Xenopus tropicalis: one gene and its partners. The protein of the gene in region 1 binds, or shares a complex with, the protein of each later gene. Links are inferred from orthologs where the notes say so. Each region holds a gene or a part of one and is shown in the gene's direction. Other genes may lie near its edges.

The links.
Region 2: pigh (region 1) and pigy share a complex: the UniProt entries of both Homo sapiens proteins name them as parts of the glycosylphosphatidylinositol-N-acetylglucosaminyltransferase (GPI-GnT) complex. The link is inferred for Xenopus tropicalis from reciprocal best matches to the Homo sapiens genes PIGH and PIGY.
Region 3: pigh (region 1) and pigp share a complex: the UniProt entries of both Homo sapiens proteins name them as parts of the glycosylphosphatidylinositol-N-acetylglucosaminyltransferase (GPI-GnT) complex. The link is inferred for Xenopus tropicalis from reciprocal best matches to the Homo sapiens genes PIGH and PIGP.
Region 4: pigh (region 1) and pigc share a complex: the UniProt entries of both Homo sapiens proteins name them as parts of the glycosylphosphatidylinositol-N-acetylglucosaminyltransferase (GPI-GnT) complex. The link is inferred for Xenopus tropicalis from reciprocal best matches to the Homo sapiens genes PIGH and PIGC.
Region 5: pigh (region 1) and pigq share a complex: the UniProt entries of both Homo sapiens proteins name them as parts of the glycosylphosphatidylinositol-N-acetylglucosaminyltransferase (GPI-GnT) complex. The link is inferred for Xenopus tropicalis from reciprocal best matches to the Homo sapiens genes PIGH and PIGQ.

The regions. Positions count from the first base shown.
Region 1 is NC_030681.2:52,819,319-52,824,221, forward strand, and holds part of pigh (phosphatidylinositol N-acetylglucosaminyltransferase subunit H), read left to right. Parts: intron 1-1,409; coding exon 1,410-1,619; intron 1,620-2,948; coding exon 2,949-3,032; intron 3,033-4,281; coding exon 4,282-4,377; 3' UTR 4,378-4,903. UniProt on the Homo sapiens protein: Part of the glycosylphosphatidylinositol-N-acetylglucosaminyltransferase (GPI-GnT) complex that catalyzes the transfer of N-acetylglucosamine from UDP-N-acetylglucosamine to phosphatidylinositol and participates in the first step of GPI biosynthesis.
Region 2 is NC_030677.2:67,792,603-67,799,535, reverse strand, and holds pigy (phosphatidylinositol N-acetylglucosaminyltransferase subunit Y precursor), read left to right. Parts: upstream 1-2,419; 5' UTR 2,420-2,617; intron 2,618-3,599; exon of another isoform or gene 3,600-3,642; coding exon of another isoform or gene 3,643-3,860; intron 3,861-5,158; coding exon of another isoform or gene 5,159-5,309; 5' UTR 5,310-5,345; coding exon 5,346-5,561; 3' UTR 5,562-5,850; downstream 5,851-6,933. UniProt on the Homo sapiens protein: Part of the glycosylphosphatidylinositol-N-acetylglucosaminyltransferase (GPI-GnT) complex that catalyzes the transfer of N-acetylglucosamine from UDP-N-acetylglucosamine to phosphatidylinositol and participates in the first step of GPI biosynthesis.
Region 3 is NC_030678.2:12,646,700-12,652,010, forward strand, and holds part of pigp (phosphatidylinositol N-acetylglucosaminyltransferase subunit P), read left to right. Parts: intron 1-1,291; exon of another isoform or gene 1,292-1,313; intron 1,314-1,433; 5' UTR 1,434-1,441; coding exon 1,442-1,523; intron 1,524-2,346; coding exon 2,347-2,419; intron 2,420-3,121; coding exon 3,122-3,240; intron 3,241-5,219; coding exon 5,220-5,311. UniProt on the Homo sapiens protein: Part of the glycosylphosphatidylinositol-N-acetylglucosaminyltransferase (GPI-GnT) complex that catalyzes the transfer of N-acetylglucosamine from UDP-N-acetylglucosamine to phosphatidylinositol and participates in the first step of GPI biosynthesis.
Region 4 is NC_030680.2:107,289,681-107,296,369, forward strand, and holds the start of pigc (phosphatidylinositol N-acetylglucosaminyltransferase subunit C), read left to right. Parts: upstream 1-2,196; 5' UTR 2,197-2,222; intron 2,223-6,689. Other genes in the region: suco (SUN domain-containing ossification factor), read right to left, coding at 1,620-1,669. UniProt on the Homo sapiens protein: Part of the glycosylphosphatidylinositol-N-acetylglucosaminyltransferase (GPI-GnT) complex that catalyzes the transfer of N-acetylglucosamine from UDP-N-acetylglucosamine to phosphatidylinositol and participates in the first step of GPI biosynthesis.
Region 5 is NC_030685.2:21,238,349-21,244,493, forward strand, and holds part of pigq (phosphatidylinositol N-acetylglucosaminyltransferase subunit Q), read left to right. Parts: intron 1-657; coding exon 658-778; intron 779-1,124; coding exon 1,125-1,251; intron 1,252-1,421; coding exon 1,422-1,575; intron 1,576-3,351; coding exon 3,352-3,463; intron 3,464-3,556; coding exon 3,557-3,637; intron 3,638-5,097; coding exon 5,098-5,212; intron 5,213-5,789; coding exon 5,790-5,851; intron 5,852-6,145. UniProt on the Homo sapiens protein: Part of the glycosylphosphatidylinositol-N-acetylglucosaminyltransferase (GPI-GnT) complex that catalyzes the transfer of N-acetylglucosamine from UDP-N-acetylglucosamine to phosphatidylinositol and participates in the first step of GPI biosynthesis.

The DNA.
Region 1 (4,903 bases):
GTTTTTAGGCTGAGAAAAAACGCAGTGTAAAAACGCCACGTGTGGCATCAGCCTTAATAGTCCACCTGCACGGAAGGTTCCCGTGCTCAAGTAATCACATGTCCAGGCCCGTCTGAAGTTTGCCAATGACCATCTGGATGATCCAGAGGAGGCATGGGAGAAAGTCATGTGGTCAGATGAGACCAAAGTAGAACTTTTTGGTCTGAACTTCACCCGCCGTGTTTGGAGGAAAAATAAGCATGAGTTGCATCCCAAGAACACCATCCCTACTGTGAAGCATGGGGGTGGTAATATCATGCTTTGGGGGTGCTTTTCTGCAAAGGGGACAGGATGACTGCACTGTATTAAGGAGAGGATGAATGGGGCCATGTATTGTCAGATTTTGAGCAACAACCTCCTTCCCTCGGTCAGAGCATTGAAGATGATATGACCCGAAGCACGCAGCCAGGATAACCAAGGAGTGGCTCTGTAAGAGGCATATCAAGGTTCTGGAGTGGCCTAGCCAGTCTCCAGACCTAAATCCAATAGAAAATCTTTGGAGGGAGCTGAAACTCCATGTTGCTCAGCAACAGCCCCGAAACCTGACAGATCTAGCGGAGATCTGTGTGGAGGAGTGGGCCAAAATCCCTGTTGCAGTGTGTGCAAACCTGGTCAAGAACTACAGGAAACGTTTAACCTCTGTAATTGCAAACAAAGGTTTCTGTACCAAATATTAACACCTGATTCTCAGGTGTTCAAATACTTATGTGCAACAGTGCAATACAAATAAATTCTTTAAAAATCATACAATGTGATTTTCTGATTTTTTTTTTTTAATGCTGTCTCTCACAGTGGGAATGCACCTACAATGTGAATTTCAGACCCCTCCATGATTTCTAAGTGGGAGAACTTGCAAAATCCCAGGGTATTTAAATACTTATGTTCCTCACTGTATATATTTATCATGCATTGTATGTTATATAATTCCCTATTGCAAAATATATATAAGGATGTAAAAAAAATTGCTAGGGGGTGCCAACTTCTGAATCAGCCTAAAAGAGCTAGTAACTGACAAAAGATGTGTGACCTAAATTTATACAAATGTGCAAGTATTTGGGTACTGTAGTATTGTCATCTCTGACTGAATAATATAACAGTTGAATCCCAAACTTGACAAAAAATCTAAAAAGAAAATTTAAAAAGAAAATCACATTTTTATTTGAAAATCTGTATTTCTTTTTTAATTTTCTTTTTTGATATTTTTTTTTTTGTCAAGTTTGGGATACAATTGTTATATTATTTGATTTGCCCTTTAATCCAGGGGCTGTGTCCCAATGACTTTGGCCCTGTTTGACTGGGCATTTGGCATCCTCTTTTTGATAAAACCGTTCTGACTGAACACTTCATTCTGTATCTGTTTTCCTGTACAGAACACACTTGTTTTGTCTGCTGCAATAATTTGCACAATTTGCGGCCTGCTACTCTACCTCCATTTCATGAAGATTGACCAGGAGTCGTTACTGCTTATCGGCAGCCTTGGGATTCAGCTGACCACCTCATTTGCATCAGGCAAAGAAAGCACAGTGTTCATAGAAATGTGCAGAGTGAAAGATGTTGTCATCAATGAAGCATTCTTTATGGTAGGAGACCATTTTGCCCCCCCACCCCCCAAAAAAAGCACATTATGTATTTCTTTAAAGACCAACTCCACCTTAAAAGACCCTTTTTAAAAAAATAACACATTTTTCCTCAAGCTGGTTTGCAGCATGTAATCCTGTCTAATTACAAAATCTTAAAGTGTGTTTTTCCATATTCTGGTATCGGACTGGCTGATTCCCATTATCTGCAAAACTAAAAATATTTTGACGCAATGCTGGTACATACTGGTGGTGCATTTTTATAGGAGTGCATTGGCCTAAAGCAGAAGGTTAGCACTTTTGTACACTGGAGGCTGAATAACAAAGTTGCACCAGCATTTCCTGGTGTTATAAAATTTGGGATTCACTGAATATATACTCAGTACTGCATTCTCAACAAAAGAAAGGTAAATAACTAGATATGAACCCTATTTTCTATAGGTGTGGTATCTATTATACAGAATGGTTTGGACATGATATTTTCTGATTAAAAGAATCGCATTTTCCATAGTGTCACATTTAGGGGCAGTTCAATTACCTTTTAGTGTGATGTTTTGAGACAATTTGTCTTTATTTATTTTGCAGATTTTGAATTGTATATCTTTTTGTTTAGCAGCTCTCCAGTTTTGAATTGCATTTGAAATGTATTGAAAGTTAATGTATTGAAAGTTAACTTAAAGGTTCACTTTTAAACAAGCAATTGGCAACTTGGGTGATGTTAACCAAACTTGTATAAATACATGCCAATGGGTTTTTTATGTTCAAATGTTTTTGGTAATCTTGAGGTAATGCCTCAGATGCTGGATAATACGTCCCATATGTGTTATATGTTAGATGGAGCATACAGTGAAAACTATGAGAAAAACATTTGCTGTTAAAACCTTAATTGCATTACTACAAATTCTTCAGACAACACTGAAACCAGTTTCCTCAGAATTCTTATCACTCTGTTGCTGTGGATAAAGCTAGGAGGAAGGCTTCTAGTGGCAGCATCGCTGTAGGCTGCATCCTGACATACTACTGGGATTCGACATGTCATACCACAGTTAAGGTTCTTTGGCCCTCTAGTTTAGTGTCGGACTGGAGTGTCCAAGGACCACTGGGACCCCAGTCACCTTGGGGCCCCCCACCCCAGTCACACCTCCTCCACCACCCACACCAGGTTGCATTCTTATACTTGTGTTGCAATCTTAGGGGGTAAGGGGGGAGGGCCTTAGGCAGGGATCAGGCCTGGGACGCCGGGGCCAACCGGGTTTTTTCCTGGTGTAAAAACTTTACCCATTGTAAAGTTACATTTAAAACTCCTACTAACTTTAATCTGGTTTCTTTCAGCAAAAGGTTGTCTACTACCTGTGCATACTGCTTAAAGATCCCACTGACCCAAAAGAGATTTCAGAAATTGTGCCTGTGTTTCAGGTAAGAAAATTCATTTGTTTGCCTTTCTCATTTTTCATAGCATTATACTTGACTAACTTTAGTGTGCCCCAATTCTGCTCCTTTGGCTCCTTCATAACAGAAAAAAAGGAAATAGCCAGGGTTACGACTTACCATTGCACCCTTTTGATTTGTTAAAAATTACAAGTGTTTGAATAAATGTAGTAGAACTTCCATTAAAGTTAATGTGTGCCAAGACAACCTCCATTTCTGCACCCCTTGTGAAGGAGGCAAAGAAGGGGAAAAAAACTACCTTTAAAATTAAAGCACATTTTATAGGATTAATAGTCATCTCTTTGGCAGAGGAGGTGGACAAAGATGTTTAGATATCTCAAAAATAAAGTAACTGTTTGGTCTGGCCCAAATACATTTTGTTAATCATTTGAATGTCTCCATTTTTACTGATGCATCCTTTGGTAGGAAGGTTCAGCAGGTGGTCGTTGAAGTTCTATTTCCCAGTCTTGAAATTGCATTATTTTACCCCATAATATGTCTGTGTGCTGCAGGGTGCATGAAAAAATAGAAGCGTATTACTAACCTATATTCTGATTTCTTAGAATCAACAGCAGCACACTCTAATATTTTTCTTTTCTATTTCCTTCAAGAAAAAAAAAATGTATGGTACCATACATTCCTAACTGACTAGTGCAGAAGTGGAGACTCTGGAAACATTGTTTGGTTACTTTATTCTAACAGCATCCTATTTGCAATCTTTTGAAATTTGTGGGTTACCTTACCTGCTGTAGCACCAGTTTGTGTCTACAGACTCAAAAGTGCCTGTGTCAAAACTATCATACATTGTAACTGTTATCTGCTGCATGGCCTCCTGTAGACACTTTGACAACAACCTGATGCCAGAAAGAACATGCTAGCATAGCTAGCAAGAGGAACATAATTATACATATACTTCTTCATATTGTCTTGGGGCAATAGGCAATGTATAAACTGAAAGTTTACTGATCCTTTGAATGGATGACCTGCTTTAAAAATTGTATTAAAATCTATTTGCCTTAAGGAGGCTATACACTGCAGGATCTGCTCTGTTGGAGAAATTTCCAAGAGAGTAGATATGGCCCTGTTTGGCCACCCATATGCTGTGCCAAATTGCGCTGATTGATCATTGTCCCGGTTTGGCCCATGTATAGCCAGCTTTTTTTCTTCTGTTTAAAACGACCTTTTTATGTTGATTAATTAACCTGTTTTTTCAACATATTCTGTTATCCATATATAGAGCTCCAAGCCCCGCATGGACTGTTTGACAGATGTTTACAGAAGCTGTCAGGAGATCTTATCTGTGAAGAGCCATAACGTGGCAACTATGGACTAACCTTGGATATTAGATATGACAGAAGTTATTATTACTGAAATAGAATTATAATGACAGAAGTCTACAATGATAGGAGATCTGGTTCCAGCTAGTTACTACAACTTGTTGTAGAGTCTTTTTGGATGCAGGAAAATCTTGGTGGTACTACCTAGCATTGGGATTTCTAATTATGGTCTGTCTAGTATTGTCAAAAGATACTGTTTTTTTATATTTCGTTTTATTTCGTATATTTTAATTTAGATAACTCATGAGAATCCACTTTTTACTATTATATTTGAAATTTTTTAAAAAATCCTGTAGTGATCAGCATTTATCAAATTTACTATATTAGAGGTAAATCTCAATTTGCCAATATTTGAGAATAATACATGCAGCGCATATTCCTCTGCAAAGATTATGGGTCAGAGTAAACAAAGGGCAAAAAACACTTTACACATTTCTCTAAAATATACTCCCAAAATATACTTGATTTGTAGTATTTTCTAACTCTTAGAGGCAGATGAAAACAATGATAAATTAAATGTTT
Region 2 (6,933 bases), on another chromosome or scaffold:
TAGAGACTAAGGGGCAGATTTACTAATCCATGAATGGACCGAAAGCGTCCGAACGCGGGTTTTCGTAATGATCAGTATTTTTGTGACTTTTTCATCACCGTCGCGACTTTTTCGTATGTCCCGCAATTTTTTCGTCGCCAATACGACTTTTTTGTCGCCGTCGCGAAAAAAACGGATTGGTTTTTCCGCCGTTTACTATTGCTCAATACGAAAAAATCACGACGCCGATGAAAAGACTCTTACATCAAGCGCATGTGCATAATGAGCTAGCGGGAAGACTGGAGAAAAACCCGATTGGCTGGGAGCCCCAGTGCACTTATGGAAGAAAAGGAGGATCCAGAGAGTACCTGGCTTTGGAGCCAAAACCAAGGGTGGGGTTGGCAGGTTTTTAAAGGGCCCCTGCTGCAGTGCCAGCCATAGAGAACCCGATCCAGAGGAACAGAGAGCAGCAGACAGGTGATTGCACTGCCAGTAACCAGAAAGGTTACAGAGTGCTCAGCTGGTTTTTGAGCTCCAGCCTAAATGGAGAGAGCATTCTGCATCTTGTTAAACTGCCAGTGGGTTTCTGTTGTTATCCTTGTATGTTCCCTGTGTGAGGGCAGGTGTTGATCGAGTGCCTGCAATGTGGAGCAACTGCCTATCCAAAGGGAGTGGTACTTTGGGGCAGGTAGCACTACAGGGGAAACTAAAGAACTCTTGGGGAAGGGACTTTGCCAGAGACTGAACTGGGAAAGGGTATTTCCACCAGGAAAGAAGTGTGGGACTGTGTCCTAGGAGAGACTGTGCCAAAAGTTTAGTTAAAATGCATGTTAAATGAAACATGCATTTCCCAAAGCAGGGTCATATTATTTGCCTTTTACAGTGATTACATTTTTCTAAATTGCTATATAAAGTTTATCTTTTCTGCAAACTGTGTGTGATTTATTTTTCTAGTGGAATCCCCCTGAGGTGTGCTCCTCAGTGACCACTAGGTGGAGGCACTGCACTGTAAAACCCAGTTCCCAGAAGTGAGTGTAATCCAATTTCTGCAGAAGTGTGCCAAAAATAGGTTACAGGGGAAAAATGAGAGGATGATAGGTGCACTTTAAAGCTTATTTCCTTTTAAATGGAATTTGGTTCAAGCTACAGACTTAAGCCCTACCTCCCGTTTTGCTGCCCCAAAAGCTTGCTAGCCCTAGCCTCCCATATGTTTGTGCCTGAAACTGTTTCCCTATTTAAGGGGTAGCTTAATTAAATAGAAAAGTCATTCCTGAAAAATCCCTTGCTAGTTACTGGCTTTTACTAATGAGGGACATTTAACAATGAGGTGCTCAAAAGACTTCTGCCCTTTTAGATCAGATTCTGTTCAGGCTACAGACTCTGACCTTATCTCCCAATTTGCTGACAAGTAGCTTGCTGGCCCTATCCTCCCCTTAGTCTGTGCATATAACTGCGTTACTATTCTTTCTTGGGATAGCTTGAGTTGAAGGAAAAATATTAGTGCAGGACCAAAACAGCTCCCTAGTGTTCTGTTAATTCAACCACATCGGATTGTCCTAACCAAATAGGTCCCTAAACTCCACCTAACCCAGAAAACAGTCAAGCCACCCAGGGCGCGCTGGCTTTCTATTAGGGATGCACCGAATGCACTTTTTTTTTAGCATATGCTAATTAGGATACGGAAGGGTTAAATTTCTAACTTCCGTGTTTATGTGACAAAAAGTCACGTGATTTTTAAGATTCGGATTCAGTTCTGCCAGGAGCCGAAAAAAGCATAATCTTGGCCAAATCCTGGATTCGGTGCGTCCCTACTTTCTATCCACTACCTGACATATAATGAATAGAGTTGCCTCCCAGCAGTTATTTTACAGGCCTGACCAATAAAACTGAAATTTGATTCCAACAGTACTAATAGACAAGATAGCTACCAACAAGAGAAGGAATGGTATTTTTTGTAGAAAAGGTGGCAACACTAACAGTAATTCACCAGCTTCTCTATGCACACTCATGACAACCAGCTCCCCTAATGATCAAATACCCCTTGCAGCCGGTTAGCCTGCTGCCATGTTGTTTTAATTACTGCTGGCTTAGAACAAACTGGCCATACACACATCAATAAAATCATACAAAACCTAGTCTCAAACAATTTTTGGACCGTGTGTGGTCTCAGAATAATCGCCCCCAAAGTTTGTCAGAAGAAGAACTGAACTTGTATGGAAAATAAGGAAGATAAGATCCAGCCACAGCAATGTAAAATGTCCCTGTGCACAGGAAATTGCAGCAGACAGAACAATCTTTATCTAGTGTCCATTTTAAGATATCTGTGTGTGTTCAACTCCCTCCCCACCACAGAAGCCCCCCCCCAGCTCCCTACCTGTCACATACCCCATCCGACTAGCTCCATACTCCCCCTGACTTCCTCCCTGTTTTATCCATGCTGTAGCTTTCTACCTTGTCTACTCCCTACTCTGTGATTCTTTGTGCTGCAGCATTCTATACTACCCGCAACCTGTTCAGTGCAGTATCAGACTGGGCTGCTGGGGTACTGGGAAAAAAACCTGTTGGTCCCCGGCGGGCCAGATCCCCTCCCCCAGGGCTCTCCCGCGATCCACCGTCACCCTCCCCCAACATACCGCAGGTAAGTTTCTTTTAGAAGCATGGTCGGAGGGTGTTTGGGGCCTCTGCAGGGGTTGGGGGGGGCTGGGGTTCCTGAGGCAGAAGCCCCAGTGAGCCCTGCACCCCCCAGCCCGACCCTGTTTCTGTGTCCTATAGGGTTCTCAATTTATTGCCCATGAACCTTTTCAATGATCTATATATATGCTGTGCCTTTCCAGCTTTCATTTGTATTTTGCCTGACGAAGGGGCCTGGGTGCTTCAACACAGGGTCAGACTGCGGAGTGAAGGGCCCACTGGGGCTCCCGCCCCAGGGGCCTTGTAGGTGCCCGTGCAGGGCCCCCCACCTGACATCCTCCCCCGAGCGTGTAAATTTAACACGTCAGGGGAGGAGCACTCGGGCAGGGGGAGCATCGGCAAGGGTCGGGTCTGGGCCGCCAGGGCCCACTTTTCCCGGTGTCCCAGCGGCCCAGTCCGACCCTGCTTGGACAGCTTGCAATTTTTCTTACTCAGCCAATAAAAGGTATCAGATTTTCTGCATTGTTTTTAATGGCTAACACAGTACAACATCTTAATTCCATAGGATTCCACAGTGAACAAAGCTTTTTGCTTTTAACAGGAATACTGTTACTGTATTCCTGTTTACCTATAACTTATTTTGAGCACTGTTAGAAATTAAATTGCTACCACCTGTCAGGCAATGTGGGCTGGTACCTGGTTTAACACAAATACAGAAGGAAAAATCGCCTGGCAGTGAATGGGTTACATATCTGTGATCGCAGGAATCAAAGGGCAAACCAGATTCAAGCAATAATATCAAGTAAAGGTAGTTTAACATTACAGAAAGACTTTAATCACAACTCTTTCAGATATATTTTGAGGGTTTTGCAGGCTGTGGGTTTATATAGTTACATGCACATGGTAGGAACCACTGAGACTGCTTTGTGTCGTGTGAGGGGCTGTTTATAGTGCTGCACAGGAAGAAGGGGTGGAATCGTTCCTGGGAAGTAAAGGTTGTGTGTCAGTCAGTTTCTGTGCAGAAAGTGGAACATGCTGGCTGTCAGGGCATGGGGAAGAACATATAATACCTTAGTCCAGCGGAAACTAAACGCTGCCTGTCCCACTGGCGCCCTGCCAGCTGTCACACTGCGGCCCTTGCACTGCTCTTTAGTTGCCAGATCCCCGGAACAGAGCCTGAAGGACAGCAAGACGTTTGATCCTACCCTCTTGCAATTCCTGGTCTGCCCTCTCTCAAGGAAATCGCTGAGGTAAAATACCTGGCACTGGGTTAAAGGGCTCTGATACAGTCAGTATACTGCTGCTGGGTGGGGGGGTCATTAAGATCACCTATGATCCTAAGCATTGCTTCCCCCCAGAGGTGCGGGCTACAATACAAGGATACTGCCCCCTGCAGTGCTGGGCTGCCCCTAGTTTGAGCAAAGTGTCCCATCAGACTTGGGTTTCTCTGACTTAAAGTTATAGCCACGTATTGTTCTATTTATAATTTCTAATTAATTACCCTTTAGAAAGACTATATTGATATTAACCATTAGCCAAATGTTAGGGCTTATATTGAAAATATCGCTGCTTATTTTTATTGAAAGGGGAACTACAGTTTATGAACCAAAATTTGTTAAAGAGCCCAACACAGAAACCCCTAATATACCTAGCACTGTAAACTGTTTCTTTCTGCTAAACCTTCTAACCTTCTTTCTGCATTATTTAAAATCCTGGGAAGAGGATTAAAGAAGAGGGACTAAAACACTGATGTTACAAATTGTAACAACTTCTCCACATCTTACAGACAGCACTCAGAAACTACATTACCCACAATGCATTGCCCAGTGATGTTATTTTCCCTATTCCTTATTATATGTGCGGGGAATTGTGGTAACTGGAGAAGGCAGGCTGAGGACAGTCTACTGCATTTTATTTGAGTCTCAAAGTAGTCAGTCAGGTCAGCAGGGGAACAGGGTGTCCCATACACCTAAGCCTGTACTCTGTATAGGGAAATATTCAGTTTATTAACAGCAAGCAGATGTCTCTTTGCTATTTCAAGCTTAACTAGAACTCCTAAATGCATTTTATATATATTATATATATATATATATATATATATATATATATATATATATATATATTGAAAAAAAGACCAGCAACACCGGATCTATTGCAAACAATCAATTATATATTGAAAAATACATGAACAGCCAACGTTACGTTTCGGTCTTGAGAAAGGTCCCGACGGGGACCGAAACGTAACGTTGGCTGTTCATGTATTTTTCAATATATAATCGATTGTTTGCAATAGATCCGGTGTTGCTGGTCTTTTTTTCAATATTTAAACTCTTTTACCGTGCACCCGGGACAAGGATTGAAGCGGTGTGCCACCCTTGGCTCGATATATATATATATATATATATATAATATTGATTATGGAATGACGCTTGTGGTTTGAAATGTACTGATTTTGGTGATCAAATTTCCCGACATTAAATATAAACGGCTGTGATTCCCCATTCATTGATCCAGATCTGATTGTTTATATGTCATTTTTTTTCCCTAGATATGAAGAATCTACCAATGAGTTAATTAATGACGAGCTGGGTATAGCTTACCCAATTGTTGATGGCATCCCAAATATGATACCACAGGATGCCCGCATGATTCATAAAGATCAGAAGCCTGAGAGCCCAGACACAGAGCAGACAACATAGTTTTTTGGATTTGTTCCTGCAAACAATAAAGAAGCCATGTTTTTCTCCCTCCCTGTGCTGACTGTGCTCATTCCTCTGGTGTCTTTGACAGGGTTATTATACTCTGCCTCAGTGGAAGAGGATTTCCCAAATGGATGCACCAGTACAGCAAGCTTGTGTTTTTACAGCCTTCTGCTTCCCATCACTTTGCCTGTCTATGTGTTTTTTCATTTGTGGACTTGGATGGGACTCAAGCTCTTTAGGCACAATTAATGCATAAATGAACAGAAAATATCTCATTCATCCTTCTGCTTTCAGATAAGATATGGAGAACATGTTTTCAGATTGGTCGGTTACAGCTTTGCATAGAAATATTAACATTTAATAGAAATAAAATGAATGTAATTGTTTTGATTTTTGTACTTTCCTTTCTATTTGAGCTCCTTTAAAGACTCTATTCCTAAAGGTACACTTACCTGGGTGCTGCCCCATTTGTAAGTTAATAGGAGCTGCTCTCTGGCAGCTTATGTGCTTAACAATAAAATTGAAAGCAAAAAATGCATCCTAGTTACTGATGCAATAATTGTCGGAGTGTGGGGTGCAGGGCTCACCGGGGCTGCCGCACGTGTAAATTAAAATTACTTTTAGCACGTTGGGGAAGGGAGATCTGGGGCCCAGTCCTACCCTGCTTGCTTTCTTTAAAGTCATTTAAAATCGTCATTCCAAGTCCCTTTTCTATATTATTATTGACAGTAATGAAGTGCTGGCTGCTGGGGTCAGTGACTTCCATTTGAAAGCTGAAAAGAGACTGAGGAGAAAAGCAAATAATTCAGAAACTATAAAGAAATGAATGCCAGTTCTATAACATACTAAAAGTTAACCTAAAGGTGAACCACCCCTTTTATGCCTTAGTTTATACATTCAGTATATACATCCATGCAGGCCCTTCTGGGAGAACATGAGGTTTCATCAAGTAGTGGTTATCTACTTTACATGTGGAAGGGAAATCATTGTAGGTGACTATTGACAATGTCATGAAACCAAAAGATAAAAGGGGATATTTATAATGGCTGCAAAGTGGAAAAAGACACAGTTGGCTGTTTTTTACACTTTGCCAGAATGGGGCATTGTGCAAATAGCCACAGGCCTCTAAACTCTGGCAGAGAGAACCTTGAATCGACTGCTGCCTGTGCTAGAGAGAGCTTAGTTCAAAAGAGGCATGCTGGGAATGTACAGATACAGGCAGTGAGTTATCACATTTTATCACAACATGGCACTATTCTTCCAATACATTGATTGAAATGCTTTCTTGTGATGGGCTTAGGCCATGGTCACACAAAGCATTTGCTCTGCTTCTCTTTGCCTGCGGTTTTCAGTCAGGCAGAGAGAAGTGGATCGGCTCCAATATGCATCTCCTGTTGCTGCACTGACAGGTATAGCTTCTCCTGGCATGCAGCAGAGGTTGGGCCAAAAAACGCGACCTGCATGCAAGCGCTATACCTGTCATTGCAGTTTTACTGGTGCATATGGGAGCAGATCTGCTTCTCTCAGCCTGCAGAAAAATATGTGGCTAAGAGAAGCAGGAAAAATGCTCTGCATGCTCATTGCAGTACATATGCCCAGGTTTTTGCAGTTCCAGCTCAGG
Region 3 (5,311 bases), on another chromosome or scaffold:
GTAAGCTGGCATACCCACGGGCGCCTATATCCACAAGCGCATATACCCACGGGCACCTATACCCACGGGTGCCTATATCCACAAGCGCTTATACCCACGGGCACCTATACCCACGGGTGCCTATATCCACAAGCGCATATACCCACGGGCGCCTATATCCACAAGCGCATATACCCACGGGCACCTATACCCACGGGCGCCTATATCCACAAGCGCATATACCCACGGGCACCTATACCCACGGGCGCCTATATCCACAAGCGCATATACCCACGGGCACCTATACCCATGGGTGCCTATATCCACAAGCGCATATACCCACGGGCACCTATACCCATGGGCGCCTATATCCACAAGTGCATATATCCACGGGCGCCTGTACCCACAGGCACGTATACCCACAGGCACCTTTACCCACGGGCACCTATACAATCGGGTGCCTATACCCACAGACACCTTTACCCACGGGTGCCTATACAAGCGGGAGCCTGTACCCATGGGCGCCTATACTCGTGTCTGGCATGGGCTGCACTATTCATGGCAGTGCACACAGAAGAGGAGATCTGTATTGTTTGTTGGACTGGGCAGAATGAGACCAGTACCTCTGCCAAGGGATAAAGCCTATCGGATAAGCTCACCATTGGGTACATGAACTGCTTATACCCTGCAGACATTGGCACCAGACTTGGCCACTCTTTACCAAATTGCCCCCTTTTGAATAGTTTATTGCCCAAACCTGTCTCTTTCCCAGTTGGTATCTAAATGAGGACTTTAGGTCAACTACATGACCAGAATGTTGGCCCAAGGGCTGAACTACCCCATTTTGGGCCCATTATTGTCTACTACTTGGGAAGCCTGGTGTTTTGTTTAGAATCTGCCGGTTATCACTGCTGAAACAGTGTAGCAGAAGCCAACAGACCCGGAGGAGAACAGACTTCTGCTACTTTGTTTCAGGAGTCAAGACGAGAGAACAGAATGGATAAACTGCTTTCAGAGATTTCCATCTAAACAAAACTTATATCGCACGTTAGTGAATGTATATTGTTTTATGCAACACTAGTTTTTGGGTGACGTTCATAGAGTTTTCTGAGCCTCGGTGCCACCTGGCCAGCCCATGACCTTACAGTGACCAGAGCCGCACTCCCGGGGCCTTGGCCCAGTTACTCATTAACCCCAATGAACTTTCCCTGACTCCCTCTATCAGCAGTCGCACCTCACATGGAATCTCATTGTGTTGATACAGTTCCACCCGAGTGAGCATCAGGCACAACCAAATTATATTCAAGGGGCTGAAGTTTATTGTTTTTTTAATGGTGATTATTTTCTCCTTTCTCTGGGCATTAAACAACGTTTATAACTGTGGGTCTCATTCCTAAAGTCTTCTATTGTGAGCAATGGAAAGTGCCTAATTGGCTATCCCTTTTTTATTCCAGATATCACAATGGTGGAGAATTCCCCGTCCCCGCTACCTGAAAGGGCAATTTATGGCTTCGTTCTGTATTTGGGTTCCCAGTTTGGCTTCAGTGAGTATCAGCACTTGCATATCATTGTGTATTGGAGCAGTTGGTTCTGTGCTAGTGAGACGTACAGGCCGCCATCTTCTGCTGAACAAGCTCCTTCCATACAACATGTTTTATTGTGCCCCTGAAGCTTTGGTCACCACCTGTCTCCGGATCACTCATATGGATCAAAGCTTAAATAAAGAAATATCATGTCCATTCAGTCCTCTCATTGCAAGGGACCGTAGTGGCCAATACTGCTCCCCACATTACTCCTTGCTCCCCTTTTCAGTTTTGGACTGGGCTCCCCAGGGCCACCAGAGAACCTGACAGCCTCTATCTCCTTTTTACTAGTGATGTGTGGGTCGACAAAAAGTTGATCTGCACTGGACAGTAACCCGCCGAGCCTCGGAATTTGTAGCCCTGGCCAACCCACCATCTCTGTCATCACAAAAGGCCCAGGGCACACAGGCACAAATCAATAAATAGCGACATTTGGAAGCGTAAGCGGGCAAAGTAAGGTCAGGTTGGGCTTAAGAAAGTTGTGTGGCTGCCGGCCCAAGCCCACCCAACCTGCAGGTCCCTGACCCGCACATCACTACTTCTTTACTTCTGTCCTCTAACAGGGCCAGCACTTCTCAAACCTTTGGCCTACCCAACTAAACCATTGGGGGGCCCCATAGTCTCTGTTTATTATTGCACAGCACCTAATAGCCACCTCTCAGCTATGCCACAAAACACTGGTCACAATCTAGGATACAGTTACTTTTGGGCATTTGCACCCTACTGCACTTATTTAATTGGTCTTTCTGGTATTTGTGACTGAGCTGCTGTTTTGTACTTTCAGTTCTGTACCTAACGTGGGGCTTCATCCCAGAGTCTTGGTTACACTCATTAGGACTGACGTACTGGCCCCAAAAGTAAGTACTGATGTAAGCACTATACACATAGCTGTACTGTATGCACTGTGTTCCCTTTCTCTCTGGGCAAAGCAGGATGGCTGCAGGTTTACATGGTATAGTGTCAGTCTGAAAAGTCTTTGTAGCCCCAGATACACAGAAGGGGATCATTTACTAACATCGGGCATCAGGGTCGGACTGGGGGGTGCAGGGCCCACCGGGGCTGCCGACCCAGGGGCACTGGAGGTGCCCTGCCAGCCGCATCCCCTGCATCCCCTAGGGGCCCCCACTACACCCCCTAACCACCCACAGTGGCTCTGCCCAACGTCCTCCCCTAAACGCGCCTAAGTTTAACGCATCAGGGGAGGAACACCGTAGGCCAGGGGAGCGCTGGCAAGGGTCGGGTCTGGGCTGCTCCTGGTGTCCCGGCGGCCCAGTCCAACCCTGTCAGGTATATTAGCCCCATTGCACCCAAAGCCTTCAGTAAAACAATTAGCTTTAATCAGACTCCTGCAGACAGAAGAATGAATGCACATCTGTGATCAGTTACTCTGCACAAATTAGAGCATATTTGTTAGTAAATGTGGCACAGTATGTCAGTAGGATAACAGGATACATATTGTGTGCAGCCACAAAGTCCTACCTACAGTATAGTAATTGCAGACTGATAGTAATGCCTTTGTTGTCTGGCATTTCAGTTTCTTTTACAAATTGTGTTTATAGATATTGGGCTGTGGCAGTGCCCGTCTACCTCCTCGTTGTGTTCGGCATCGCCTATATCTTTCTGTTTGGTATAAACATGATGAGCACTGCTCCCCTAGACTCCATACACACTGTAACAGGTAAGTGGGACTCTGGCTACAGTATATAGAATCTAGTGTATATGTGTGTGTGTGTGTATATATATATATATATATATATATATATATATATACAGTGGTGTGAAAAACTATTTGCCCCCTTCCTGATTTCTTATTCTTTTGCATGTTTGTCACACAAAATGTTTCTGATCATCAAACACATTTAACTATTAGTCAAAGATAACACAAGTAAACACAAAATGCAGTTTTTAAATGAGGGTTTTTATTATTTAGGGAGAAAAAAAATCCAAACCTACATGGCCCTGTGTGAAAAAGTAATTGCCCCCTGAACCTAATAACTGGTTGGGCCACCCTTAGCAGCAATAACTGCAATCAAGCGTTTGCGATAACTTGCAACAAGTATTTTACAGCGCTCTGGAGGAATTTTGGCCCACTCATCTTTGCAGAATTGTTGTAATTCAGCTTTATTTGAGGGTTTTCTAGCATGAACCGCCTTTTTAAGGTCATGCCACAACATCTCAATAGGATTCAGGTCAGGACTTTGACTAGGCCACTCCAAAGTCTTCATTTTGTTTTTCTTCAGCCATTCAGAGGTGGATTTGCTGGTGTGTTTTGGGTCATTGTCCTGCTGCAGCACCCAAGATCGCTTCAGCTTGAGTTGACGAACAGATGGCCAGACATTCTCCTTCAGGATTTTTTGGTAGACAGTAGAATTCATGGTTCCATCTATCACAGCACGCCTTCCAGGTCCTGAAGCAGCAAAACAACCCCAGACCATCACACTACCACCACCATATTTTACTGTTGGTATGATGTTCTTTTTCTGAAATGCTGTGTTACTTTTACGCCAGATGTAACGGGACACGCACCTTCCAAAAAGTTCAACTTTTGTCTCGTCGGTCCACAAGGTATTTTCCCAAAAGTCTTGGCAATCATTGAGATGTTTTTTAGCAAATTGAGACGAGCCATAATGTTCTTTTTGCTTAAAAGTGGTTTGCGCCTTGGAAATCTGCCATGCAGGCCGTTTTTGCCCAGTCTCTTTCTTATGGTGGAGTCGTGAACACTGACCTTAATTGAGGCAAGTGAGGCCTGCAGTTCTTTAGATGTTGTCCTGGGGTCTTTTGTGGCCTCTCGGATGAGTTGTCTCTGCGCTCTTGGGGTAATTTTGGTCGGCCGGCCACTCCTGGGAAGGTTCACCACTGTTCCATGTTTTTGCCATTTGTGGATAATGGCTCTCACTGTGGTTCGCTGGAGTCCCAAAGCTTTAGAAATGGTTTTATAACCTTTACCAGACTGACAGATCTCAATTACTTTTGTTCTCATTTGTTCCTGAATTTCTTTGGATCTTGGCATGATGTCTAGCTTTTGAGGTGCTTTTGGTCTACTTCTCTGTGTCAGGTAGCTCCTATTTAAGTGATTTCTTGATTGAAACAGGTGTGGCAGTAATCAGGCCTGGGGGTGACTACAGAAATTGATATTGAAATTGAAAATTGAAATTGATAAACCACAGTTAAGTTATTTTTTAACAAGGGGGGCAATCACTTTTTCACACAGGGCCATGTAGATTTGGAGTTTTTTTTCTCCCTTAATAACGTGAACCTTCATTTAAAAACTGCATTTTGTGTTCAATTATGTTATCTTTGACTAATAGTTAACGGTTTTTGATGAGCAGAAACATTTTGTGTGACAAACATGCAAAAGAATAAGAAATCAGGAAGGGGGCAAATAGTTTTTCACACCACTGTATATATATATATATATATATATTCTGTAAATAACCTCCCTTGGTGCTACATTGTCAGCCCAAGGATTGCAATGCATGCTGGGTATACAGACTGAAAGCAGCCACTAGATTGGCCAATATCCTAGTGCAGTTTATTGCAGTTATGGGCAACCTCAAGAACTCCCAGTGCCGCTCAGAGCTAATAGATGATCAGCGGTACCTGTTCTTTCAGTGCCACTGAGTGTTGTAATTTGTAAATTTTTACCACAATTTCCAGACTCTTATGCCAAAAATCAGCAAGAGAAGGCGTGCCAAGAGGATGCCATCCCAGCACTGAGGGACATTTCCATCAGCGAGGTTAATAAAATG
Region 4 (6,689 bases), on another chromosome or scaffold:
ATATGGTATACATCCGTTTGCCCCCACAGGTTAGCTGGTCAAATACCATACATTGTCAAGCTTAACTCTTTATTTAACTTTATTATGCTCAGCCCTTACATTACTATGGCAAAACAGTTGTTGATAATCCCTGACAGCAGCTGTCCCAAATACTATGGGGTCAAAAGAGACAACCAACAAAAACCTGTTTTTGTAAAAAAAAAAAAGTAATTCTAAACATTTTTCAATTATTCACTATTGACTATTGGTAAATGTAACTGAAAAAAAGTATTTGATTATCATTTTCTGTTCTTTGCACTTTCTTCTGATTTTGACTTTTGAAACAATGTAACAGAAATCACTTCTAATCCAGGTCTTTTAAACAGCTGCCTTTGATACATAGTTTCAGGAGTCACAGTTCGAAGTAGTGGATATATGGAGCCATGCACATCCTGCTTTGAATTGCAATTACATTTGCAAATAAACCTAAAAACACTGAAAAGTTTCAATTAATGTATATTAGAAAGTTTTTTTCCCATTAGTCAATATATGAATTTGCCAACCCCGGCATCCCTTAAAATGATACCAACTGCTGCATTCATAATCACATTCCCTGAAACTAAATACAACAGAATGCTGTCAATCTGACTCAGCAGCAGTTCCAACTTCTATCTATGACAGTGTAGGCATTCCCTAGTGAATAAAAATCTAAATCAAAATAATTATATTAAATGCAAATAAGACTTTAATATAAAAGATACAGGATATTCCAGGTCTGGGAAAACCAATGAGACCCAATTCTGGTTCCCCCAGCATAACTATAAACAGAAGTCTTTCATAATCATAGGCAGTCAGAAATATAATGAGCAAATGTAAAGATATTCAAAATAATTTTTTTATCACAGCCCATAGGAAGATACATTACAACAAATGAACATGGGGCAATAACAAGCAGCTTGTGACCCACAATTTGCAGATCTTCCAATTATAACACACAGCTGTCATTTAGGGAAAGTCCTACAGAAACTATTTCTGATGGTATCTCTCAGCTAAACATGTTGCTGGACTATGCTTTCAAGCTCTGCCAAAATAAAAGCCAAGAGGTATTCTCTGTGTACTAACGAAAGGAAAAGTTTTCTTAGCTAGCCAGTTATTATTTAAGGGGCAAAACGGTTTTGGCATAATGAAAGAAAGTAGAACTCTAAGCAATCTTTGACATGCATGCTGCTACATTGTTTCAGGAGTCACAGCCAGCAGTGCAGAGAATATAAGCAGCAGGGCAGCTACAACTTTCAGCCAGCAATTACATTTAGAAATAGCTTAAAAATCACTGAGTGTTTTAAATCAATGTATACTGTAAAGCTGCTGGGAATTACAATTTCATTATACATTTTAGGAGAAGATTCCATTTAATTCATCCATATGAACATGAAGAAAAAGTGAAATTATTGTTGGTGTAATGGCATAGTGTTACATTTATACTAAGACCAGGACTCCTAGGACACTGCTTTTCACACAATGATGGGAGACCCCCCCCCCCCTTCATTCAGGGTACATGACAGCGAGACTACCTGTCAGCGAGTAACAGCAATGTGGGCATTTACGCTCCAACAGACAGGCGCAGGGCCCTAAGCACTCACCATGAGCCAACCAGAAAGAGGCAGAATATAATAAACACCCGTTTCGTCATCTTTCCCGGACGTATTTTCTCATCCTCGCTGGCATTTCCCGTGTACTTTAATGAGCACTAGTCGTACAAGCCACCATTGAAAATGTCCCCGTTGGTGTATGGCGCCGGGGAGAGCCGTGCCACTGTTTCCCCTACTTCCCCTTCGTAAAAGCACTGCCCACACCACGCTACAATCCTCCAACGCGGCCGATCCCCTGCGAATGCCTCCAACTGCACAGCCAGCTTAGGCGGAAGGAGACGCGTCACTCCGGCCGAGGTTAGCGAATCAGACGTAGCCTTTACAACCCTCCCCCTTCAAATGCATTGGTTTGGTCCAGAAAGGATGCCTCAGCTCTTTTGAACAACAAGGCCTCTGTAATGGACTGGGGGCGGAGACTCGTGTTAAGCGAATTGGAATCAAGGCGCCCCTGGCAACTATTGTGGCCTTTCCTGTTTCTAGTGAAAGGGTTCTGACAGCCAATAGCATTTCAAGATACGACCGCTCTTGATTGGCTGCTCAGCCAAAGGTTGCAAGGGGCTGGAGAAACGCGGAAGCCTGGCTTTAGGAAATCAGGTACCCACTTACTGGCAGCTTTCTTTTGAGTTGGTAGCTACCCACAGGGTCTCTCCATTGTTTTTCCCTACATTGTAACCTGCCTACTGTCACTGCGGTTTGCTATACATTTCATTTTGTTTGTTGCGACAATATTAGCCTTGACATATGGGGTGGGGGGAATATGGCTAGTGCTTCTCTGCGTAGGTGTCCGCACAGAACGGCAGAAAGTAGGTTCCATAAGTCAAAGGCTTGCTACTGTAGTGTGCGGAAAAAAGTACAAAATTGTAGTTTGCAACAGCCCTGCACTTTGTAAGTGAGCTCTTGAATATGTAACTGCTGCCTCCTTTATATACTGTCTCTTAAGTTGCCAGTTGGTAGTCTTGCTCCTTCTCTCTCTCTCTCATCTATATATATATATATATATATATATATATATATATTACAGTCCACAAAATTTTCAGCACACCAAACCCCTAATATAAATCACCTGGGTGCTACCTCCATGTGTCTAATTATCCAAAAATTGGGTGCACACCAGGATATTTTTTAAAGATTAAAACGTTACTTTTATTTAAACATGCTGTTAAAACAGGCCAACGTTTCGGTCTCCTCCTAAGACCATTATCATTATCAAGGGTCTTGGAGCCGGGTTGGAGCTGCAGAGTGCCATTGAGCCCTATGGGAGACTTTCCTTGGGCCAGGTTGGAGCTGCAGAGTGCCATTGAGCCCTATGGGAGACTTTCCTTGGGCCAGGTTGGAGCTGCAGAGTGCCATTGAGCCCTATGGGAGACTTCCCTTGGGCCGGGTTGGAGCTGCAGAGTGCCATTGAGTCCTATGGGAGGCTTCCAAAATCATGCTAAGTCTGAAAGTTTTGCCCGCAGTTTACGAGCGCTCAATACGAAAAAGTCGCGACAAGATACGAGCAAATCGTAACGGCTACGAAAAAGTCGCGACAATTCGTGCAAGTCGTAATGGTTACGAAAAAGTCGCGATAATTTACGAAAAGTCGTAACGGCGACGAAAAAATCGCAAAATGTTCGTTTTCCAATCTGAATTTTTCCCCTTCGGATTCATGGGTTAGTAAATCAGCCCCTATGTTTGAGGCAAGGCTAAAATTTAGCAGTTGCCTTTCATTAGATGGAATTATCCAAGTTACTGTGTAATAGGCAGGTTAATACATTCCTTAGGTCTGTTGTTTTAATGAAGAAACCGTTAAGAAAAAAATAAGAAAAGGAAACCAGTTTCATTTTAGCACTTCCTGTTCCACTAAGAAGCTCCTGTTCAAACCCTGCACCTTAGGGAAGGGAGGGGATTGTATATTTGTTTGAAGGTAAATAAGGATCTCTGAACAAATTGCCCTGTCTATAAAGGAGGGGCTTTTCAAACAGTGCTTTATAATGGAAAAAAATTAGGAGTATATGGCAAAATACATTTTAAAGCAAAACTATACCTCCAGAATGAATACTTAACCAACAGATAGTTTATATTATGTTAATAATATGGGCAGAACTCTGCCCAATAATTGGCTGATGTGGCCTAGCATGTATGTGTGCCTTGGCTTGTTTGTGTGCACCGTTAATACTATGATCCAAGGAGGCGGCCATTACTTCTTAAAATGGTAATTTTCTATTTAGCAGTACCCAATAGCACATATTGCTAAAAAAAAGTATATTTTTATGAAAATGGTTTATTTAGATGAAGCAGGGTTTTACATATGAGTTGTTTTATGCAATATATTTTTATAGAGACCTACATTGTTTGTGGGTATAGTTTTCCTTTAAGCATAAGTTGTTTTTTTTTTTTGTTTTTTTTATTGTGCTCATTTTTTGCCAATGTGTTTTAGACATATATTTTCCTTTTTAAATCTGTGTTTGTCCCTTGAATCTTTTACACTTGAAAAAGACCCTCTGTTTGGTCAGAACAACCCATGTTACTTAATGGATTTGCAGTGTAGTTCCGGCAATGTATATGCATGCTTCCTCCGCAGAAGAATTGTACTGTATATGTCAATGTCAAATGTGTGAACCAACACCTGGTTTCTTCCTACAAAAATTTGATAAGCTGCAGTCCAGAGCAAGATAGTTATTTATTCCCATTAACAAAGGTGCCCGGAATAGTGCCCAGACTAATTATACCACATGGCAAACCTAAAGAAGTCACTTACAATAAATTGTTTACTTTTGAGCTTCATCTGACTGATTTTTTTTTTTTTTTTTTACATTATAAAGAGTCTGAAGTTTTCATAAAGATTAAATTGTATTCTACTTTTCCATTTCGTTATAAAATAAATGTGCCTACTAACATTTAGCAAAATGTCTCTTGATTACTGTTTAGCCTGCTTTGTTTATTAAGTACATAGAACATAACTACCTTTGAAAAAAGCTCAGTGCAACGTGGCAGTGCTGTTATCAGGTGGAGGATTAAAAACACAGGTCATTTTGATCTGCAAATAGAATATTTCCAGGTCAGTAAATCTCTGCCACTACCCCCTGCCTGTCTCACACCAGAGTAAACACAATTCAGAAGAGAAACATATTCCATGAAGCTGTTAAAGCATATGCATTTTGCTCATGGTATTATAAAGGTAGCGTAGGACATTGCTTCTTTTATTTTTACCATATCTTTTGTGTGATCAGAAGAAAGAAATTCCACATTTTCTGTGTTGATTTTCTCTAATATTAGGAGTTAGTTTGACTTTTGTCATTGTGAGATAATGGGATTTCAAATTGGGTAATTTAAATTGCTGACTGTTGCTTTGGGTGACCACACTTGTGCAGATTTGCCCATTGTTATTCAGTGAGCCGGAATTGCACATAGCGCATATTCCACTTCACATAAAAATGTTACATCTTATTATACCAAGTTCTTCTACATGTTAATTCATGAAACTAGCTTTTGTACAAGAAATAGAACAGAGGCTTATAATCTGTTTGCTTGCAGCAGAATTATTTTAGGGCACCCTAAACCTCTTGAGCCCCACAGCTTACAAATGCTGTAGTCAAAAGCACTTCCTATTGGCCCACACTTTGTTGCCTTTATTATTGTCTGAAGCACAATTGCAGTTGCAGCAAAATGTGGCATCACTGCAGTGTGAAGGCTTCTATAAGTACACTCCAGTTTTAAGATGGCCATACATGATCAAATTTTAGTCTTCTTCCAGTGAACATTCGGATATGCATTGTATGTTTAAATGCAACGATCTAAAACTAAAATTCAGACTAAAATTGTAGGATAAAGCCATTGGACAATGTTTTGTATGTGGGAAAGTTGGCTAATCGTATGAAAGTAACTTTCTGGGAATGCATTTTAGGTCCCCCAAGGACACAGATGCACAGATTTTATCTTCATCCAACTTAAATTTTCTAACCTGTCCGATCGACTAAATTACTGATTGCTATGGTATGAAAATTATCAGGACACTAATTCGTAGCCCACACACGGTTTGAAAACCATACGAAAATGCAATGTATGGCTAGCTTAAGATGGGAGCATGTCAGCCTTTGTTTATTTGGAGTGAAAATAATGTACATTTGGCCAATGTAGTAAACAGGATCTATGTAGCTATCAGGTAGTTTATCCATAGATGAATATTGAATCAAGTTCATGACTAAAGTATCCATCTGACTGAGTTGGAGCAGTTATTTGTACCACTAGACTTTGATCGGTGCATTGGTAGATCTGAGAATATGTTCAGTTACTTAACCAAAGCCACGTAGTTAGCTTGTCAGCCTGATGATAAGAAGGATGACAAATGCTTGCCTAAGTTTAATCTCAGATACTAAGATAAACAGAGTGAACTGAAAACAAAGTACATTAATGTGGGAAAATGTTTAACTGTGAGGTAATGGTGATGCCTTAAATGACTGCCAAAAAACGTTTATTCTTTACAGATAATTAGCCACTCACCATTCCAACTGCATTATCCATTTTTGATGTCATACAAGTGTTGGGAAAAAATGCTTGCATATTCATGTGTGTGCTTATACCTTTTGATAAAGCATCCCATTCAAAAACTTTTGTAGAATACTAAGTCGCTTATACAATTCAGTTTGATAATAAAATCATCAAAACTGCATAATAATGGGATAAAAAGCTTGTTATATTCAGCTGTTCAGGACATATAAGTCCCATGACATTAGGGCTTTGGCGTTGGTTTGGCTATAAGAACCACACTGTGGATTAGGATAGTTTTGAATCTAGCAAACAGTGCTGTGATTTTAGCTGAACTGTGCACTGGATTTGGTGCAAATATATCTTTGTGTGTTTAGCCACTGGAATTTCTCTAAACTTTTCTGTTTCCATTAAAGTTTATAATAAATGCACCCAGTATGCTCATGAACTTTTCTTTACTTAAATTGGCCATGATTTTTGATATAACAAGGGCAGCCTACAGATACCCATGTACTATGTATGTTAGTTGGCTCAGAGATCGGGCCTGTTTATAACTCTTTTCTACTATGTCCATTATCTGCTGTTGTGTAACAC
Region 5 (6,145 bases), on another chromosome or scaffold:
AGAAGACATAATTTCAAGCAACTTTGCAATATACATCAGTTAAAAAATATGCAGCCTTTTCATGATTTTAATGTAATAATATGGTTTGGAACAGTTCCCTAAGCCCCGCCCCCTGTTCTGCTGATCTGGCTGACTATTTTGAGACTTTGCCGACTGTCCTCAGCCTGCCTTCAGCCTGCATCCTCCATATCCCACGATTCCCTGCACACATGATGTGAATAAGGAAAAGTACATCACAGTACAATGCATTGTGGGTTATGTAGTTCCTTTATGCTCTCTATCAGCTGCAGAATTGTTACAATTTGTAACATCAGTATTTTAGTCCCTCCTCCCCTGCCAGGATTTCAAATGATGCAGAAAGAGAAGAACTGTTTTGCAGCTGGATTTCAGCATATAGGTGTTCTCTATTTATTAGGGATTATTTTGCCCACCATACACTTAACAGCATGTATGTGCAAGCTCACCTACTTGGTAATGCATTTACTTCTAGGCCAGAATATGTTTACCGCCAACAGCAGTCACATTGCTTTTAAGGCAGCTAGAAAGCACCCGTGACTCCTGCCTAGTGCTCTCTTTAAGCCACTTGGCTAGTCTGCTTGCTTCCTCAAGATGTCTCTCCAAAGTGCATAAATGTACCATTTGCTTGTTATTTTTCAGGAAGTCCAACACTGTCGTTTCCATTCTATTAGACATGGCCCTGGGGATTTTACTGATGTCCTGGCTGTACAGAGAGAACCGAATCAGTCAGCTGGCCGACACACTCATGCCCGTTGCTGATGTAAGTCATACACAGGGAACCTGAATTTCAACCCACAAAACCCTTGGTTCATGTTTTTGTAAGCAGCTAAGAAACATAACCTCCCATTTTGAAGGGGAAGTTTGCCTTTAAATGAACTTTTACCATGTTGTAGGCGGACTAAATTTAATTTTAAGTGTAAATCACAGTAATTCATACAAATTACTGTGAGAAGGGATGAGGGGCATTTGCACAGGCAGCAGTGACCAAATGCCCCATAAGACATATGGTTAAAACGCATCCCTCTTTAAAATAATAAAAAGTACTAATCAGGTTTTTTATTGTTAGCATGCATCCCAATTTCCTTCTGTCTCTCTTTTCCCATTAGCGTGTTGCTTTGGAGCTGCAGGGGCTGCTGCAGTGGCTTATGGGTGCTCCGGCTGGATTAAAAATGAACCGAGCTCTGGATGAAGTCTTGGGACGCTTCTTTTTGTACCATATCCACCTCTGGATCAGTAAGCTATACCCATTTCCTTCTCTCATTTTTAATTCTTTCCTTTATCCCTTTTGTTTGGTTTATAAAAACTTAAAAGCAAATCTGATAGTAATGCAAAGGCATGTGTTTGGACTTGAGCCCATTTACTTTATTAATACTACATATTTTCCTAATTGTATTCCTGCGCAGGTTACATTCGCCTGATGTCCCCATTTATCGAAGTCATCCTGTGGTACATTGGCTTGTCAGCCTGTCTGGGCTTGTCAGTTGCTCTGTCCATCCTCTCGGATATCATTGCCCTCCTTACATTTCATATATATTGTTTCTATGTTTATGGAGCTCGGTGAGTGATCAAATATTGCCTTTTAAGGCAATATTTTGTATTGAATTTGCCTTAACTAATATTCATAAAATACTACTTATCTAGGGTCTAGACCAGGGATCCCCAACCTTTTTTACTTATGAGCCACACGCAGATGTATAAAGTGTTGGGGAGCCACACAAGCATTAAAAAAAGTTCTGTGGGGATGCCAAATAAGGGCTGTCATTGGCTATTTGGTAGCCCTATGGGGACTGCTGGCCTGCAGGAGGCTCTGCTTGGAGTAAAACTATGTCTCTGTGCTTCCAAAACTTGCCTCCAAGCCAGAAATTTAAAAATGGGCACCTACTTTGGGGCCTCTGGGAGCAAAATGTTGCTTATGAGCCACTGGTTGGGGATCACTGGTCTAGAAGAACTTAACTGCCATTGTAAATATTGTAGCTAAAGGAGAATGAAAGAAATGAATACAACTTAGGGTCCCTGCAGAGGCATCATTCCCAAAGCCCACTACCCACCGTCCCCCATACCATTTTTGTCTTCCTGTCACAGGCTCTTTGGCAATGTTCACTGATTGCCTGGTCCTGACTTCAACTACAAACACATGGCAAACTCTAACCCTTCTGCTCCAATCTGCCCTTAACAATCAAGTACAGAGGAGCAGAGTTGCAATTTTGGACTGTAGATGGTGTAGCTTGGGAAGGTGGGCCTTTGCAAGAGCAACTGAGTTTTAGCTAGACTTGTCTGTACAGCATTGCGATCCCTTGTAATGCCAACCCTCTCTGGGATATGTAAAGAGGTAGTTCACCTTTAAGTTAACTTAATATGTTATAGAATGACTGATTCTATACAACTATTGTCTTTATTTTTTACTTCTTTCCAGCTTTTAAATAGAGGTCACTGACCCAGTAGCCAAAAAACTATTGGTCTGTGAGACTCCAATTTTGTTGTTATTGCTACTTTTTATTACTTCTGTTTAGCCACTCTCCTATTTATATTCCAGTTTCAGGTTGCTAGGGTAGTTTGAACACTAGCAACCAGGTAGCTGCTAAAATTCCAAACTGCTCAACCAAAAGCTAAATAATTAAAAAAAAAAGAAAAACACACACACAAAATAAAAAGTAAAGACCAATTGCAACTTGGCTCAGAATATCAAGCTATACATCATACTAAAAGTTAATTCAAAAGGTGAACCATCCCTTTAAGACAACATTATGTTTAAGTGACAGGTGTCTACGGTTATGTATACCTATTGGTTGCTTTAGGAGCTTTAGAAAAAGCAGTATCCCATAATATTTAGGGACACAATGCAGATAAAACCTTTTTGCCTGAGAATTTTGCAGCCAGGTTTGGACACCCGGTAAACTACACGAGCTGGAAGTATCTGTAACTGGCATCTAAACTACTTTTAATACCTACTGAATTGTGTATTGTAAGATTTGGAACCCTTTGTAATAGTTTCTCCATAGGTTCCGTTCCATAACCAGTTTGCATGAAGTATCGCAATGGATAGATTTGCACGCAGGCAGTGACCCATAGCAACCAATCAGTGGCTGGATTGCTGGCTGAACAGTAAAAGCAAATATTTGCTTGTCATGGGTTTCTGCCCAGCTGCAAATTCGTGCAGTGTTTATAAAAGAGCCTCACCATGTTTTTCCTTATGGTTATTATGATTACTATGATTATTGCAGTAGAAATGCTACATAGAACATCTACTTTACTTATGTATCATTATAGTGTGCTATCCCCTGTCTCTTAAATTCTGGGAGTACAAGTGATAAACTGTCCCTTCTTTTACACTAGCCTGTATTGCTTCAAGATGCACGGACTCTCTTCTCTCTGGCGTCTCTTCCGGGGCAAGAAGTGGAATGTTCTTCGCCAGCGAGTGGACTCTTGCTCTTATGATTTGGATCAGGTACCTCGGCCTGGTTGCAGCTGCCTAGGGAAAGCATACATAGTGCAGCACAGGATTATACCTCAGGCTTATCTCTGCTCTTTTCTATTGCAGCTTTTTCTTGGGACCTTGCTCTTTACAATCCTGCTGTTTCTCCTGCCAACCACAGCCCTGTATTACCTGGTATTTACTCTGGTACGTGTTTATCTAAAACCTAAACATATTGAACCTAAAAATAACATTTCACATTGATGCAATAGCTAAATAAATAATAGACATCTAATTTGTGGTTTTAGGACTGATTACATGGACATAGACTCATAGATACACTTGCCAGTGGTGTGTGCCCAGAGCCAAATGGCAAATATTAACTTGAGTAACCATCAAAGAAATTTGATGTTTGCTAAATTTGCCCCTTTGTTTTTTTGGAAGCCCAGGCATCAAACTTTATGTGATATAATATTCGCTGAAGAACAGAGCCAATTACATTGAATCTTAAAGAAATACTGTCATGGGAAAACATGTTTTTTTCAAAACGCATCAGTTAATAGAGCTTCTCTAGCAAAATCCTGCATTGTAATCTGTTTTTCAAAAACACAAACTTTTTTATATTTAATTTTGAAATGTCACATGGGGCTAGCCATATTCTTCATTTCCCAGGGTGCCACTGCCTTGTGACCTGTGCTCTGCTTCAGCCACACTTTACTGCTGAACTGCAGGTTGGAGTGATATCCCCCCCAGTAGGCGATCAGCAGAACAATGGGAAGGGAGCAAGATAGCAGCTCCCAGTAGGTATCAGAATAGCACTCAATAGTAAGAAATCCAAGTCCAGCTTGGGACTCCTCCAGTTACATGGGAGTAGGAGAAACAATAGGTTAGCTGAAAGCAGTTCTAAGGGCTCTGGCACACGGGGAGATTAGTCGCCCGCGACAAATCTTCCTTGTCACGGGCGACTAATCTGCCCGAACTACCATCCCACCAGCGAAAATGCAAGTCGCAGGTGGGATGGAACACACTGCGCAGGCGATTTCAGCAAATCGCCGAAGTTGCCTCGCGAGGCAATTTCGACTTACATCTCCCCGTGTGCCAGAGCCCTAATGTGTAGCGCAGGCTTCTTCTGAAAGCTCAGACTCAGGCACAATGCACTGAGATGGCACCTACACACCAATATTACAGCTAAAATAAATACATTTGTTGGTTCAAGAATAAAATTTTAAATGGTAGAGTGAAAATCATGACAGAATCACTTTTAGGCTAGTGTCACAGAATCACTTTTAGGCTAGTGTCACAGCCTGCAGAAAAATCCAGGCTGAGAATCAGCCCCTATGCTGGCACCAGACTCCATGCCTGCACCCGGAAGCATTGTGTTCACCTGAGTGCAGACAGATGTGGTGAATACCAGCCAAAAACGCAAGAGTTTGCATTTCACAGCCAATATCCACAGTGTCTGCTTGCACTTGGACAATACTTCCGGGTGCAGGCAAGGTAGGAGGCTGAATCAGCCCTGTGTGGCACTAACCCTAAGAATAAATGGAATACAGTGCTGGAACAAAGGGGAAATCATACTATAAATTATTATTGGAATGGAACATCTTGGTATGTCAAGTAATCTGGTAGGACCTCTTTCATCTTTTTATTTTACTTGTCTTGGACAGCTACGTCTGCTTGTGGTCCTGGTTCAGGGTGTCATCCATTTGATTGTAGATCTGCTGAACACTCTCCCACTTTATGCTATGGTCTTGCGCCTCTGCAGGTCGTACAGGTTGGCAGGTGAGCAGCTTTTGTATAATAACTCTTTGATGCAAACCCTGCTGTTTATGCTGCTCAGATTGTAGCATGTAACTGAAAAAAGCCAGGAAATGTGTATGGGGCTTCCCTCGGGCTGGCTGCACATTGCTAAAACTGAAGAGGGAACATAGAGGAATATGAAGAGTGGTGCTTCACTGGAGATGCTGGCTGCCTGTTAAAAGAACTCACCTCTCATTATGAGCTGCTGAGCCAGCAGGCAGTTATTAGCAGCATAAAACTTTAAAACACATGTTCACCAATAGTCTGTTTCCTAATGGTCAGGCCTGATCTGTATTGTAAAGGTATTGTATTGTAAAGGTGGCCATACACTGTAAAATCTGCTCACTTGGTGAGGTTGTCAAGCAAGCAGATCTTCTCCCGATATACCTACCTATGTCGGTCAAGGAGGCCCGTCATTGGTGCCCATACACTGGCAGATAAGCTGCCAAATCAGTCTAAAGGACCAATATTGCCAGCTGAAATTGTCCCATGTATGCATCTTCCCCACAAATTTCAAACACATGCTTGGCTCATTCATTATCTGTTTTTTTTTTTTAAGCTGGTGTAAAATTCCGTATGCTGGAACAACAGACTGGGAAGCCCCTTCGACTGCTTATGCAGGTAATGCCAACTCTGTTTTACATTCAAAAGGGGCAGCTTCTTTTAGTAAGGTAACATAGTAACATAGTAACATAGTAAGTTGGGTTGAAAAAAGACATACGTCCATCAAGTTCAACCATAATGCCTATACCTAACCTACCTAACTACAAGTTGATCCAGAGGAAGGCAAAAAACCCCATCTGAAACTTCTCTAATTTGCCTCAGAGGGGAAAAAATTCCTTCCTGACTCCAAGATGGCAATCGGACCAGTCCCTGGATCAACTTGTACTAAGAGCTATCTCCCATAACCGTGTA